Mus musculus: one gene and its partner. The protein of the gene in region 1 interacts with the protein of each later gene in a pairwise test. Links are inferred from orthologs where the notes say so. Each region holds a gene or a part of one and is shown in the gene's direction. Other genes may lie near its edges.

Region 1 (7,129 bases):
GGCTTTGGAAGTGAAGAAATCACCATCAGAGAACTAGAGGCCGGACCCGATCCCTAGCCCCTTGGGCACTGTCTCAAAGCTGGGGGGCAAGAATGTTCTTAGCATCTCTGAGCTGCCGTTTTTTCTGACAGGCAAACTACCAAGGGGGTGAACATGGCGTCCAGCCTTACAGGGGTGTCTCAAGTTTACTTTAAATGAGTTGCGGAGCAAATGTTAGGTTCAATTAGGATTAGCCAGCACGGTTTCAGTAACGAGCCAGAAAGAAAGATAGGACTGTGGGAAGCATCCTGGAAACCAACAGACACCCCCACCCCCACCCCACCCCCAAAAGACCTAAAAAACTACTCCTGTGGAGGCCACCTCCCTCTGAGTGCTCCCACAGCCCTCGGGGGCTGGTTTCAACCTGGAAAAGATGTCCTGCATCACAGCACCTGCAAGCCAGACACCTGCCTTACCCCATTTTTGCTGCCAGCAACTGGGGTCACAGGCTATGGCCTAGTAACAGAATGTGTTCGTGGCAGTGACCTCAGGAGTCTGGGATGCAGAACACTTGCCATTTGCTGTTGGTCACCTTTCAGCAGTTTTGCTTGAAATGTGTTCAGACTTCACAGACAACACAACACAAATAAAACTCTGGAGTTCAGAAGCTCAAATCATGGCTAAAAGCATGGGATTGTCAGAGTGATATTCTGTCTGAAAACTCTTTCATTCAGAGAAAACCTGCATTTTCTCTTCTCTCTTCCAGCACCCATGGATGGGTAGCCGAAACCCGCTTGGCTCATCTGCACACTCAGATTGCTTGGTCTCTATTTCTGTTCTCAAGTTTCTCCATGGTTTTGGCCCTTCTGCCTCCTCTAGCATATTGAGAGACCCTTGTGATTACTGTGCCCTCTGGATATCCCAGGCTACCCTTGAGTTCAAGTCCCCTAATCACATTTGCCATGTTAGACACCACGCACAGGTTCCTGGACTTAGTAAGTGCACACACATCTTTTCCATTTTGCTTCCCATACAGTGACTGGGATCATAAGGAAGCTGTGGCATGCTCTGTCATTATCTTTCCTTAGCAGATAAGAGACCCAGGGACGGAGAGGTTATGTAACCTGTCCGGGTCACCTGGAGAATAAGTTGCAGATCCCAGAACCAAGGTTCTCTCTGGTTGCAAAGCCTCCTGGGATGGGAGCAGCCTGGAATCCCAGCCACTCCCTGAACTGGTAGACAGATTCCAAGCTGGTTTCTAGGGAGTTGGGGAGTTTCCTAGGGAGATGGGCAGAGTACATTCCTGCCCTGGGTCCCAAATGCAGAGACCTGGGCGCAAGGTCCATCCTTGCCTCTAAGGCTGAGAGATAAAGGACACAGCAAATTCCTTCCACTCTCAACAGGCCCTTATCTAGAAGGAAGTTCATGGTAGAACCTCAAATAGATGGTCTCAAAAGTTCCTCTTAGCTTGAAAACTCACTTTCCATAATGGGATTTTAGAGATGATCTGTGGTTTTTGTTTGTTTGTTTGTTTTGTTTTGTTTTGTTTTGTTTTTAGATATTCTCATATAGCCCAGGCTGACTTCAAACTTGCTATATGGGCAAGGCTGTGGTTTTGAACTCTCAACCCTCTGACCTTCCAAGTGCAAAAACTGGCCACCGTACTCAGCCCACTCTACACAGCTACCCAGCTCTCCCATCCTGGCAAGTGAGCCTAGGCCCTCACCACTCTGGGAAGACATATCGTCACTGAACTACATGACCCCTTTTAGTGGTCATGGTATATGGTGAGGTTTTCTCTGGAAGGGAGGCTGAATAACAGCATCTACACATAACAAAAACATTGGCAACTGGGGCTGGAGAGATGGCTCAGCGGTTTAAGACCACTAGCTGCTCTTCCAGAGGTCCTGAGTTCAATTCCCAGAAACCATATGGTGGCTCACAACCATCTGTAAAGGAATCTGATTCCATCTTCTGGTGTGTCTGAAGACAGAGCGCTCATGTACCTAAGATAAGGAAGAAAGGAAGGGAGGGAAGGAGGGAGGGAGACAAGGAAGGAGCTAACAACTCCATGTTGGCCTCTGTCATTTCTTCTGAAGCATCAGAGGGGTCTTCATCCTCAGCTTGGGGATATGAGCCTGTCTGCATCTCACTCAGGCTGACACCTCAGTTGTTTTTGGATTTAGGGTTGGGAGGCTGGCTAAACATGTGGCATCTGGAAAGACAAATCCCCAAACCTGGGGGACCAGGGTGAGGTGAAAGGGGGAACCCCTTGGAAAGCAAAAAAAAAACTTTGGGGTGGGGCTGTGAGTGAAGGAGCCCACAATTCCTCCCTCCCTCCCTTGTTCCAGGCTCAGAGGGCACTAGCAACACAGAGGAGTCCAGGAGTGGGCTCCATGAGACTATCTTGAAGAAGACATACACCTCGGGATGGTGCAACTGCCTTACCCCTGGGGACCCCTGGAGTCTGCAGCCACCCCCTGCTGCCCCCACCTGAACCCTTGATCCCAGCTCGGCAGCCCCCGCAGTTTCCTGTTTGCCCACTCTGTTTGCCCAGCCTCAGGAACAGAGCTGATCCTTGAACTCTAAGTTCCACATCGCCAGCAAAAGTAAGCAGTGGCAGGGCCAGGCTGAGCTTATCAGTCTCCCAGCCCAGCCCCTGCCCACACACATATATAGACCAGGGAAGAAGAGCTGGACACCCAGACTGTCGGAGAGCTCCGGGGAGGTAAGTGCTGCTACCTGCCTTCGGTGGCTCTGGCTCCATAGCGCCTCCCAGTTGATGCTCCACTGTCCAAATCAATACCGTGGATATCTCGCACCTTTAGCCATTCTAGCCAATGCTTCCATGGGCTTGAATTGTGTGTGGAGCCTTTCCATGACAATGCCTCCCTTCAGCCCAGCCCTCCTCCTCCTTCTTCTTCTTCAGGTCACCCACACCCTTCAGGATGAAAGCTGTGGTGCTGGCCGTGGCTCTGGTCTTCCTGACAGGTAGGTGCCTCTTGACCTGCGTGGGACTACCTTCCTGGGCACAGAGAACAGAATTCCCACTGTTCTCTTCCCTGACTCCGAGTCTAACCTAACATGGGTCTCCCCTCCATCCCCAGGGAGCCAGGCTTGGCACGTATGGCAGCAAGATGAACCCCAGTCCCAATGGGACAAAGTGAAGGATTTCGCTAATGTGTATGTGGATGCGGTCAAAGACAGCGGCAGAGACTATGTGTCCCAGTTTGAATCCTCCTCCTTGGGCCAACAGCTGAAGTAAGGAAAGACCTAGCGTGGGGCCTGGAGCAGGTCAAGGGCTGCCCATCCAGGGTGGGCAGAGAGACCAGTGAGAAGATGCTGGAACTGAGCTGGCTAGCCCTTCACGGGCTTTCCTACCAGCTGGGCACCATGGCAGGTTCCAGTGGAGGACTAGGGATGGGATTCATCTGGCTGTTGGGTAACCACAGCCCCTCATTCAGCCTATGAGTGCCAAATCCCTTTTCCTTGGTAACCCCCAGTACTGGTCAGACAGCACCCAAAACAAAACAAAACAAAACAAAAAACAAAAAACGGGACTGGCCTTGTAACCAGCACCGACCACATCTGTGTTCTTGGTGCCTTCCGCCATGTGTACAGAGGAATGTAAAGGGAAGGCAGTGAGTTAGAGGGTTGCATGTTCGGGGAAACTAGGACCATAGCAACTGCACATTAGGGGACAGGTGGCACCCAGCTATCATGTGCATGGATCTGCAGACCAGGGGCAGCGCATGATGCCTGGGCTCGTCTCTCAGCCGCTCTCTTCCCCCTCTAGCCTGAATCTCCTGGAAAACTGGGACACTCTGGGTTCAACCGTTAGTCAGCTGCAGGAACGGCTGGGCCCATTGACTCGGGACTTCTGGGATAACCTGGAGAAAGAAACAGATTGGGTGAGACAGGAGATGAACAAGGACCTAGAGGAAGTGAAACAGAAGGTGCAGCCCTACCTGGACGAATTCCAGAAGAAATGGAAAGAGGATGTGGAGCTCTACCGCCAGAAGGTGGCGCCTCTGGGCGCCGAGCTGCAGGAGAGCGCGCGCCAGAAGCTGCAGGAGCTGCAAGGGAGACTGTCCCCTGTGGCTGAGGAATTTCGCGACCGCATGCGCACACACGTAGACTCTCTGCGCACACAGCTAGCGCCCCACAGCGAACAGATGCGCGAGAGCCTGGCCCAGCGCCTGGCTGAGCTCAAGAGCAACCCTACCTTGAACGAGTACCACACCAGGGCCAAAACCCACCTGAAGACACTTGGCGAGAAAGCCAGACCTGCGCTGGAGGACCTGCGCCATAGTCTGATGCCCATGCTGGAGACGCTTAAGACCCAAGTCCAGAGTGTGATCGACAAGGCCAGCGAGACTCTGACTGCCCAGTGAGGTGCCCGCTTCCACTCCCCACCCCCGCATTGGCTTTCTTACAATAAACCTTTCCAAAATGGAATAGCTTCTTTCTTTGGGGGACATAGGGCGGGCGCTAAGGGGACATCAAGGGACGTGAGAACATGGTGCCGCACTGGGGATTCCTTTGTACGCGACTACTCAGCTCTTAACGCTCACTCAAGCTGGGCACCTGGCTGGTTCAGGGTATGAGACAGAATCCCTTCCTAAGAAGGCTCCAAGGGAAATGGATGGCCAGGCAAAGCAACAAGGAACCCCAAAAGGGCCCCACAGAGGCTCAGAACACTAGTGCTGTAAACCAGGATGAGAGTGTCTGGCAATAGGACTGGCTTTGAGACCGCTGGTTTCTTGTGCTAGCCGAGTTTCCAGGTGGGGTCCAGAGGGTGCAGGACGGGAGCCTCTTCCACTCCCTAGAGCCAGGATTCCTTCAGGAGCCAGGAAGATTGGAGTTATTGGGTGGGTGCTAATAAAAAGCCTGGAGCTGAACCCGATCTCGGTAAACAATTCCCTTTGATCTTTCCCTCCGGTGCACCCACACAGTGTGCTGAAAGGGTCAAGGCTGCAGCTACTCTACCTGACAGTTGGATACAAAAACAAACAAACAAACAAACACCCCTCTCCATGATGCTGGTGACCACACATTTACTAGAGAGGCCTTCATATCCATCTCTAAATCCTGAAGGATGGCCTTTAAGTCCACACCAGTTGGGGAAGCTGAGCTGGGAGGTCTGAAGTTAGTCACTGCAGAAAAGGTGGGTCAGGATGTGCCGTTCCATTTTAAAACAAAACAAAAACAAAACAAACAAACAAAAAAACCCCTTTTATTACATGGGGCTGGTAAGGTGGCTTATCAGGTAGAGGCACTTTCGGAAGTCTGAGAACCTGAGTTCAGTGCTTAGAAGACACACACACACACACACACCCCACAAATATAAATAAAGGTATATAAAATATTTAAATTTTTATTAGACTTATTTAGTGTGTGTGTGTGTGTGAGTGTGTGTGTGTGTGAGTGTGTGTGTGTGTGTTTTCACGTGCCACAGAACATGTGTGGAGATTAGAGGACAATTTGCAGGTATCTGTTCTCTTTTCCACCATATAGGTCCCAAAGATCAAAAACTCAGGTCACCAGGATTAGTGTAGCGAGCGTCTCTACTAGCTAAGCCATCTTGCCAGTTCTTGTTTGTATTTATCTACTAGCTAAGCCATCTTGCCAGTCCTTGTTTGTATTTATTTTATTTGGAGACAGTGTCTCCACTAGCCCAGGCTAGACTCAGATGAGCTCTGATCTTTCTGCCCCATCTCCCAAGTGCTGGGGGTTTCAAGGATGGTCCACCACTGTTACTCTGTGCTGAGACAAACCCAGAGCTCTGTGCATGCAAGGCAAGCCCTCTACCACCTGAGCTGCCTGCCAAGCCCAGACTGTTCATTGTATAGACTTGCCCGCTATGGAGTGTAACCAAGCACTCATGTTCACAGGGTTGAGGATGTCTGCAGAAGCACTCTCACACCAACAGCCTTCCTCTCATCTGCCCCTCTTCATGCCTGTGTTGGTATGCAGGTGGTCTCCATCCATCCCCGGTGTATCTTCATGAGCCCCTGGCTGAAGGGGTGAGTTTTTAAATCCACAATCATGCAGAGCCACAGCAGACATTAAACCAGGTTTGGGTAGGAAAGTTTCCCGGTGTGGACAATGAGACTTCTGGCTCTTGGTGGACAGGAAGAGAAACCCCTATTGGATTTCCAGAGAGAACATAGTCCAGTCTGCTGGCTGTGCCAATGCAGTCTGGAAAGGAGCTTCCAACACCTGGCAGAGGCTTTTCCGGTGCCAGCAACGTGGAAAATGGAAAGCTGGCCCTGCAGTGTGTTTTCTCCTGATCCGGGGCAGCCACTGGCACTCTCTGAACATTAGTCTTTTACTCTATAATGTGCAAGACCTGTTTTGTGACACTGGGTCTCTTTGAAGTGAGTGTTTGGGGGTGGCAGGAACTTAGCAAGCAGCCCTTTTGGGATTCTGAGGACACTGGGTCTCCATTCCAGTCTAGAAGGTCACCTAGTTTAGCTATCACAGTGAGGACTGTTTACAAGGGGTGTGCGCATGCGGCACCTCATGCTTTTAGACACTACCATTTCATTTCTACAACAAACCTTCAGGGGAGGGGCAGGTCCTACCCACTTTATTCATAAGAAATGGAAGCCGCTACACTGCAGTGGGGTTGAGACTTATCCGACCACCCTCCCAATCTGCCTCCTTCCTTTCCGCCTGTTTAAAGGGGCCAGGCAGCCTGGGCTGTGCAAACCAGCTGCACGGGGTTGGTGATCATATCTGACCTTAAGCCTGGAGATGACATAAGACTGCTAGCTAGACAGATACTACACTCCAGCCACGTCGTCCACGTTGTCCTGCCCTTGACAGGTTTATCACAGATTGTAACTGCAAATCTGTCGTTACCTGATTTGATCTTTCCCATTAAGTCAAGCAGGGAAGCGGAGTTAGTCCCACGTACAAAGGAAGAAGCACCCCAGAGACCACTAAAGAGGTGGATGACCTACAGCCCCAGGTCCACCCCTTCAACAGGCCTAGCTCATCCCCATGCCCAGACGTCCAGGCACATGGGACACCCACTAACAGCAGCTTCTTATCCAGCTTTATTAGGGACAGCATGTTTAGGTGAGATCTAGGGAGGGGTGAAGACATGAGAACATACTTTCCCCTTAAAGCAACCTTCAGGGGC
Region 2 (7,880 bases), on another chromosome or scaffold:
GCACATTCTGAGTCTCTGTGAGTGATTCCAATCAGCTTCAGCCTCAGTTTATTGTTTTTTGCCTTACCTAGCACACATTCCATGGCCCTGTCACTATCTGTAGAGGGAGGTGGTTTTGCAGCAATAGAAATGAAGCCTAGGACCTAGCAACATAAAAGAACAAGTGATCTACCACTGAGCCACGCCCACAGCCCCTCACTGGGGGATTCTAGGCAGGGGCTCTACCACTGAGCCACCCGCAGCCCCTCACTGGGGAATCATATCTACCACTGAGTCACGCCCCTCCAGCCCCTCACTACGGGAATTCTAGTCAGTAGCTCTACCACTGAGCCACACCCACAGCCTCTGGGGCTCTTCACCGCCCCCTACCCCTGGATTCTAGGCATGGGCTCATTTTATTTATTTATTTATTTAAGATTTGTTTATCTTATGTATAAGGTACACTGCAGCTGTCTTCAGGCGTCAGGTCCCATTACAGATGGTTGTGAGCCACCATGTGGTTGCTGGGAATTGAACTCAGGACTTATAGAAGAGTAGTCAGTGCTCTTAACTGCTGAGCCATCTCTCCAGCACCCAGTACAGGCTCTTCTATTTAGCTATATCCACCCTTCTTTTTAGTCTGAAATAGGATCTCAACTGATTTTCCTTGCACTCCCTCTAGCCTAGTTTGGTCTTGAATATTTGAATCTTTGTTTTCAAATCAATCTCTACAGGAACTGAGAAAGGCATGTACCACTTCATGTGGGTCAGTTGGGCTACTTTTCCCAACTTCCCAAGCACCCACTGCACAGCTATGCCTTGAATCAATCAACATGTAAGAGACCAGGGTCGCCAGGCGGTGTTTACTTTTCTGGTTGTCTTATCTCTCCTCCTCCGCTCTAGTCTTATCTGACACCCTCTCCTTGCCTTGTCTCTCCTCTTTTTCCCTTCTAGGCTTCCTTTTCTGGCTTCCTGTTTTCCTGATCCTCTGTTATCTCACCCTCCCGCGGTTTCTTTTGCTCTGGGCCTTTGGTTGGCGGTTTCTACGGTTTCTACGTGGCTTTTGGAACCTCAGCCTTTCTCCCTTGCTCTGAAGTTAGCTGGATCTTTGCTCCCTCTGGGTCATGGGGCCTTAGCCCCATTCTTTCTCCCCTGCCTGTGCTGCATGCCTTTTGACTTTCCCAGCAAGTGTATGGAGAGTGAGTTCAGGCTGGGGACACAAAACCATTCTCCCCATGTCCTGGTACTCAAAGGGGTCATGGTGGAAGCTGGAGAGCCCCTGGCTGGCTTCTCCTCCCACCCCCTCAGTTCTCAGGGACTCAGCAGGGCTCCCACTAACAGGGGCAGGCTAGGGCTTGAGCTGTGTCTTGGGTCGGGCCAAGGCTTCAGAACTCAACTGCCTCTGGCACACCCCGAGCCTGCAGCTTTTCCTGGCATCAAACTCAGCATTATCTGGAGGCAGGCACCACTCCCACACATGACTCATTAGGCCCAATGAGAAGATGGGTCGGTGGGCTAGTGACAGGGCCCTAGACAGCCACACTTCATGCCCAGGGGCTAGGAGCACACCCCCAGAGCCTCACTACTCTCAAATATCAAGATGAGGGGAGAGTATAGAGGGAATGTCTCCCTCTGAAGACCTGAATTATTGTGATGTTATTTGAGCCACGCTGGCCTTGAACTCTGAACCCTCCTGCCTCATCTTCAAAGGCTGGAATTACAGGTTCGCGCCACTAGGCCTATCTGAGAACTTAGTTAATTCTACAGAAGAGAGTTTGTTTTCACTGGTTTGAAACGAGGCCTCGTGTACCCAGAGCTACTCTTTTGCCAACTCACTGTAGAGCCAAGGATGACCTTGAACTCTGGTCTTCCTGGCTCCGAGTCCTCGGTACTGGGTAGACAATGTGTGATCCTAACCCCCAGTTTTATGTGGTGCTATACAGATGGCATCCAGGGTTTCCTGCATGCTGGACAGGTCATCAACCAACCGAGCCACATCCTCCTCATCATCATCACTTTGTTGTTGGTTTTCAATCCAGAGCTCATGGAGCCCAAGCTGGCCTCAATCTATATAACCAAGACTGTGCCTGGTCTTCCTGTCTCTACCTAACAAATGATGGTGGGATGCAGGGATGTACAACCAGGAGCAGAGCCTTACTTCTAAACGAAGAAGGAACCCCACCTCCCTGTGGGCAGACCTGGAGGTGGGGCAAGGACCACAGAAAGACATTACAGAACTAGGATCGTGAAGGAAGTCATGGAGGCCAGCCTGTTGTACAGAGTGAGTTCCAGGACAGCCAGGGCTACACAGAGGAAAACAAGAAGGAAAAAAAAAAAAAAAAAAAGAACTGAATGACTAGCAGTTTTAGAACCTTAGCTGTGTGCTTCCCGTACCCTACCTGTGGCACAGGAAGCCCTTGTTGCTAAGAGTAGGATGACACTGGAAGCACCAAGCACTGGGCAGAGTAAGGGGGAAATCTGTTACATTATTCAGATGGGCGCTTGAGGACTGAGCAGGACTCCTTTCAAGAAGCAAAAGGGTCAGGCCTGGTGCCCACAGGGACTGGAAGCTAGCTAGCGCCGAGTTGGCCCCAGAGATGTCGCAACCCAGCCAGGGTCGAGAATCTGTTCCACCCCTTTCACAACCATCCCCCTGTTGTCGTCGTCCCCACCCCCACCCCCGCCCCAACTGACACGTGGGTTGCAGGGGCACCAGGCCAGCCAACCTAGAGTCTGGGCCCCTTAGCCACCAGCTGCCAGGGGGTCACTGTCGGTCAATGACAGCTCTGGGGGAGGGGGGGAGAAGGGCCTTGGACTCTAGCCTGAGAGAAAGGATGTTGTGGAAGGAGGGGGCAGGGAGGCAAGTTTAGGGCCTGCAGGGGCCTAGGAGGCCCCACAAGACCTAAAAACGGGGGAAGGGGGGTTGTGCCAGTTAGGGGACACTATGGAGCTCTGCAAGCTAAGAGGCTCTTAGCTTCTTTGCAGTTTTGACTAGCTGAAGAGGCAACTTCTAAGGAAGGGAGATGAGGGGATGCCAAGATCCCAGAGAGCATCCGAGGAGGTCTGAGGGTGTGCAGATGCAAAGGCATTGGAGGTGAAGGGAGCCAGGGTGCAGCATCCGGGACAGAATGTGAGCTGAGGCTCCTGGTCAAGGAGAAGGTAGAGAAGAGCTAACCTGAGGATGCAGTGTGAGCTAGGGGTGAGATGGGGGTGAGGGGAGTTGTTTGTAAGACCCCCCCCCTTAAGGTGGGACAGCCTCAGAGAGAGAGTGAGTAGGCAGAGCAGCCAAGGCTGGGTGGAGATCAATGAGATTTGGAAGTGAGGATGCTGACCAGTGACGAGCCTTGGGCCTAAATAAAAAGCCTGGATGTGGGATCTGCCTCCCAGTATCGACCAGAATGACAGAAGAGAGTGGGCTGGTTGTGTTGGTGTTGGTGCATGCCTGTAATCCCAGCAACTCACTAGAGAGGCAGAGGCAGGAGCATCACAAATTCCAGGCCAGCCAAAAAGCCTATGTAAAAAAAAAAAAAAGAGAAAAAAGAAAAAAGAAAAAGTAGGTGGACACAGAGACAAGGGGGAGGCTCAGGGGGAGGGCGACCAGCTTGCTCCGCCCCCTCCCCAACCGGTTAAACCTCTGTGCAGGATCCTCCCACCGCCATGGGCCTCCTGAGAGATCCTTAGATCCAGGTTAGTGCATAGGAAAGTGTCCCCCCACTACCTACAGCTAAGGGATTGGGGTGGTGGGATCATGGTGGAGGGCGGTGGTGAATACTAGCGATGTCCCCCGCTACCCGTGCGTCTGCCTCCAGGGTGCCCCTCCAACCAGGATGAGGCTCTTCATCGCTCTTCCTGTCCTGATTGTGGTCGTAGCCATGACCTTGGAAGGTAAGAAAGAGCCTTGGAAGGTAAGAAAGAGGCTTGGAAGTGTGAAGTTGGCCTTGTGCCTGCGGCCCAGGCTTAGAAGACCCTCGAGGAGGGCTCTGAGGTCCCTTTCTGTGTCATCATTCCACTACCGCCCTCCCATCGTCCCCCATCCCACCTGCCAGGTGCCTTATTTTTGTGTCAAAGTGGGTGCTGAAGGAGGCAACTCTGTCCAGAAAAGACGCAGTAACCAATGACCTAGGATACCACCCTTTGGAATTGGCTAATCTTCCTAGAAGGGGCGGAGCGTAAAAACAAGGAGGTGAGAGGTGCAGTAAAATCAAGTGTCCAATACCCTCCCCCATGCTAATGAGTTTGCTCGCAACCCTCTCGCGGCAGGCCCAGCCCCCGCCCAGGCGGCCCCGGATTTGTCCGGAACATTGGAGAGCATACCGGATAAACTGAAGGAGTTTGGGAACACTTTGGAAGACAAGGCCCGGGCAGCCATTGAACATATCAAACAGAAGGAAATTTTGACCAAGACCCGGTTAGGACCTTTCAGGGCACGGGCGGGTGGTGTGTGTGTGTGTGCGTGCGCGCGCGCCCGTGTGTAAAAGCCCTAGCAGACAGTTCCACACTGACACAATGGGGAAACTGCACCAGAGTGTTTGACACTTTCCCTGAAGTCATAGAACTGTATCTGAAGTCATTGAACTGGATGTCAAAGTGCTCGTAGTGTGGAGACAGGCGGTGTAACTCCCAGCCAACTGTTAGAGATGTTTCCAAGTCCTAGTGAAGGGCCAAGCTAGGCGGCTGACTGGTTAGGACAGACCCTGACCCCTCCCTGTGTACTCTTGAGACAGGTCATGACTTGAGTCTCCGAGACAGAGAAAGAATGTAGGAGAGTTGGGGCAGGGGCACAGCAGAAGCTGTACAGGCCTGGGCTCTGCAGTTTACACTGGCCAAAGAGAGATTAGGGCATGCTGGGTTAAGAACTAGCCAGGCAGTGGTGGCGCACACCTTTGATCCCAGTATTCATGAGGCAGAGGCAGGCAGATCTCTTTGAGGCCAGCCTGATTGGAGCTAGTTCTAGGAAAGCCAGGGCTACACAGAGAAACCCTGTCTCAACACCACCACCACCCCCCAAAAAAAAGGGCCCAGCAAAGAACAGAAATAGGAGTTTGAGACCAGCCTGGGCTATAGGCAAGGTTCTGCCTCAAATTGAAAACAACAACAAAAAGCAGGAGGTGAAGACACCTGAGAGACACCTGGTATGCTGTAAACAGGTTGGCTAGCCAGTTTGGCAAGTAGACAAATCGTTCATTTAAAGTGAGGTCTGAGTTTGATTACAAATATCCAGCCAGGCCTAAACTTGGCAAAGGAAGTTTCCTTTGGAGGGAAAGTGCAAAGGCCCTGGGGTGGGAAGATCTGTAGATAAGAGAGAATGGCCTTCTAGACTCGGGGGAGAACTTGGGCCAAGGACACAGGCCAGAGTGAGCGGCAACAGCTTGGGCAAGCACAGGCTAAAGAAGGGGTGGGCGGGAAGCAAGAGATGGCAAGCCTTGTGGGGTGTAGCTGCACATGTTTTTAATCCCAGCGAAAAATAAAAACAAACAAGATTAAAAAAAAAAAAAAAAAGATAAGAAGATGGAAGGAAACCAGGGGAAGACCAGGGGAAATGCCAGTGCGGATCTGGTTGATCCCAGAATCCACATCTTTTTGTTTGTTTGTTTCGAGACAGGGTTTCTCTGTATAGCCCTGGCTGTCCTGGAACTCACTCTGTAGACCAGGCTGGCCTCGAACTCAGAAATCCACCCGCCTCTGCCTCCCAAGTGCTGGGATCAAAGGCGTGCGCCACCACTGCCCAGCAGAACTCACATTTTTAAAAATCAGTCATAGGGTTCAGTTAAGAGCACTTGCTGCTCCTGCAGAGGACCAGCAGCCTGTGCCCCTACCCCACCACACACACACACACACACACACACACACACACACACACCTATGTCAGCACAGCTCACAGCAGCCCTGTAACTCCAGCTCCAAGGGATCCAATCCCCTCTACTGGAACTGCAGGCACTGGAGCACAAATACATGAACAAAATAAAGCTTTAAGGGAATGTATAAATGCCAGACAGTGGTGGCACTCGCCTTTAACCCCAGCACTCCAGAGGCAGAGGCAGGCAGGTCTCTGAGTTCCAGGATACAGAGCTAGTTAGAGTGCAGACATTTCACCCTACCATGGGAAGGACAGACAGATGGGACCCTGGGTCAGGTGATGGGAAAGAGAGACATATGGAACCCTGGCAGCCAGTTGGCTAGGCTAGGAGGTTGCCCTTTGTTCTCTGTAGTTACCTGCTAGCCACCTCTCACACAGTGGCTGGCTTTGAAAGCCAGGTCAAGATGAAGTTCTTTGAGTTTTGGTTTCACGATGCTCTGATCTGGGCTGGGGATGTGGCTCAGTACTTGCCTTGTGTGCACAAAGCCCACGGTACCCCATTGATTTGGGAGGTGCAGGCAGTAAGATTGGAAGTTCAAGGTCTTCATTCTTAGCTACATATCAAGATTGAGGCTAGCCTGGGCTACATGAGACCCTGTCCCAAAACACCCACACAAATTCTCTGGTCTGTGTGAGGGAACTGAGGCAGAAACAATGACACCCCCACCCCCACCCCAGGGTTTTCATCCCACAGACAGGATGAGGAGAGATAAGGAAAGGAACCGGAGGGGAATGGGATGCAGAGCTCTAGGTCCCTCGGAGGGTCCAGTAAGCACTGACTCGGCCCCGTCTCTCTCCAAAGGGCCTGGTTCTCAGAGGCATTTGGCAAAGTGAAGGAGAAGTTGAAGACCACGTTCTCCTGAGCACCTGGCGGGCCACCTCGAAGCATCAAGGACATCCACGTAATGTGCCAGGTCCCTCTTCATCACAGACCAATAAAAAACGTGTAGAAGGCAAACGCTCCCTGAAGTGCTTTGGACTGGGGTGGGGGCTGAGGGATGATGCAGAGACTGGGTGTGTCCCTTCGCTTGTTGTTGGTTTATGTATTTTTATGTGTGAGGGTGTTTTGCCTGCATGTGCATTTATGTGCACCTCGTGTGTACAGTACCCACAGAAGCCAGAAGAAGGCCTTACTTCTCCTGAAACTGGAGAAGGTCCTGAGCTGCCATGTGGGTGTTGGGAATGGAACCTGGGTCCACTGGAAGAACAACAGCCAGGGCTCTTAAGCGCTTTGACATCTCTCCGGCCCCCCCACCCCTGTCTGCATACTTTTCACGTTACGGTTCCCCAAAGAACCTTGAGAACCCTATTCACGTCAAACATTGAGGCTCAAAGCAGGAAAGCTCTTGGTGCAAGGCACCCAGTCAGCCGGCAGGGAGTAGGGTTGAATGCATAGCCTGCAGTGATGCATAGCTTGCACTCTCCTGTTTAGTGTGATCCAGATGAGGCTGGATTGGACTTTCCAGTGCAGAGAGTAGACACTCATTAAACTGCAAGTGGATGATGCAGAGGACTAGGAAGCAGGGTGGACAGGACGGGCATAGGAGGGAACCAGAAAGGAGGTACTCATCTACAGATCACCATGTCCCCTTCTCCAGAATGCCCTTCCAGTCACCTACAGATCACCATGTCCCCTTCTCCAGAATGCCCTTCCAGTCTGGCTTCTCCATTGCAGCTTTGCCAGCTCTCACTACTTAACTTCTTGAAGCTGTTACCATGAGCCCCCAGATGACGGGGCCAAGATTGGTGTCACCAGTGGGTCTATACCCATTGCCCAGTTTCAGCTGACCACAGTGCCAGTGTTGAATAATATTTGCTCAAACCAATAACTGCTTAATTTGTTTGCTTTGGTTTTTTTTTTTTTTTTTGGTTTTTTTGTTTGTTTGTTTGGTTGGTTTTGGTTTTTTTGTTTTTTTGTTTTTTTGTTTTTTTTTTTGAGAAGGGGTTTCAATAATTGGCTCTGAATAGCTTTGTAGGCCAGGCAAGTCTCACACCAGAGCTTCCTGCTGCGGCCTTCTCAGTTTCCAAAGGGTTGTGACTAGGT

What was found.
Region 2: the proteins of Apoa1 (region 1) and Apoc1 interact in a two-hybrid assay, tested with the Homo sapiens proteins (2 studies listed by BioGRID, with this or other methods). The link is inferred for Mus musculus from reciprocal best matches to the Homo sapiens genes APOA1 and APOC1.

Annotation. Positions count from the first base shown.
Region 1 is NC_000075.6:46,226,030-46,233,158, forward strand, and holds Apoa1 (apolipoprotein A-I preproprotein), read left to right. Parts: upstream 1-2,600; 5' UTR 2,601-2,707; intron 2,708-2,908; 5' UTR 2,909-2,927; coding exon 2,928-2,970; intron 2,971-3,086; coding exon 3,087-3,240; intron 3,241-3,775; coding exon 3,776-4,373; 3' UTR 4,374-4,440; downstream 4,441-7,129. UniProt on the Homo sapiens protein: Participates in the reverse transport of cholesterol from tissues to the liver for excretion by promoting cholesterol efflux from tissues and by acting as a cofactor for the lecithin cholesterol acyltransferase (LCAT).
Region 2 is NC_000073.6:19,688,395-19,696,274, reverse strand, and holds Apoc1 (apolipoprotein C-I precursor), read left to right. Parts: upstream 1-3,615; 5' UTR 3,616-3,666; exon of another isoform or gene 3,667-3,788; 5' UTR 3,789-3,806; coding exon 3,807-3,864; intron 3,865-4,239; coding exon 4,240-4,387; intron 4,388-6,638; coding exon 6,639-6,699; 3' UTR 6,700-6,795; downstream 6,796-7,880. UniProt on the Homo sapiens protein: Inhibitor of lipoprotein binding to the low density lipoprotein (LDL) receptor, LDL receptor-related protein, and very low density lipoprotein (VLDL) receptor.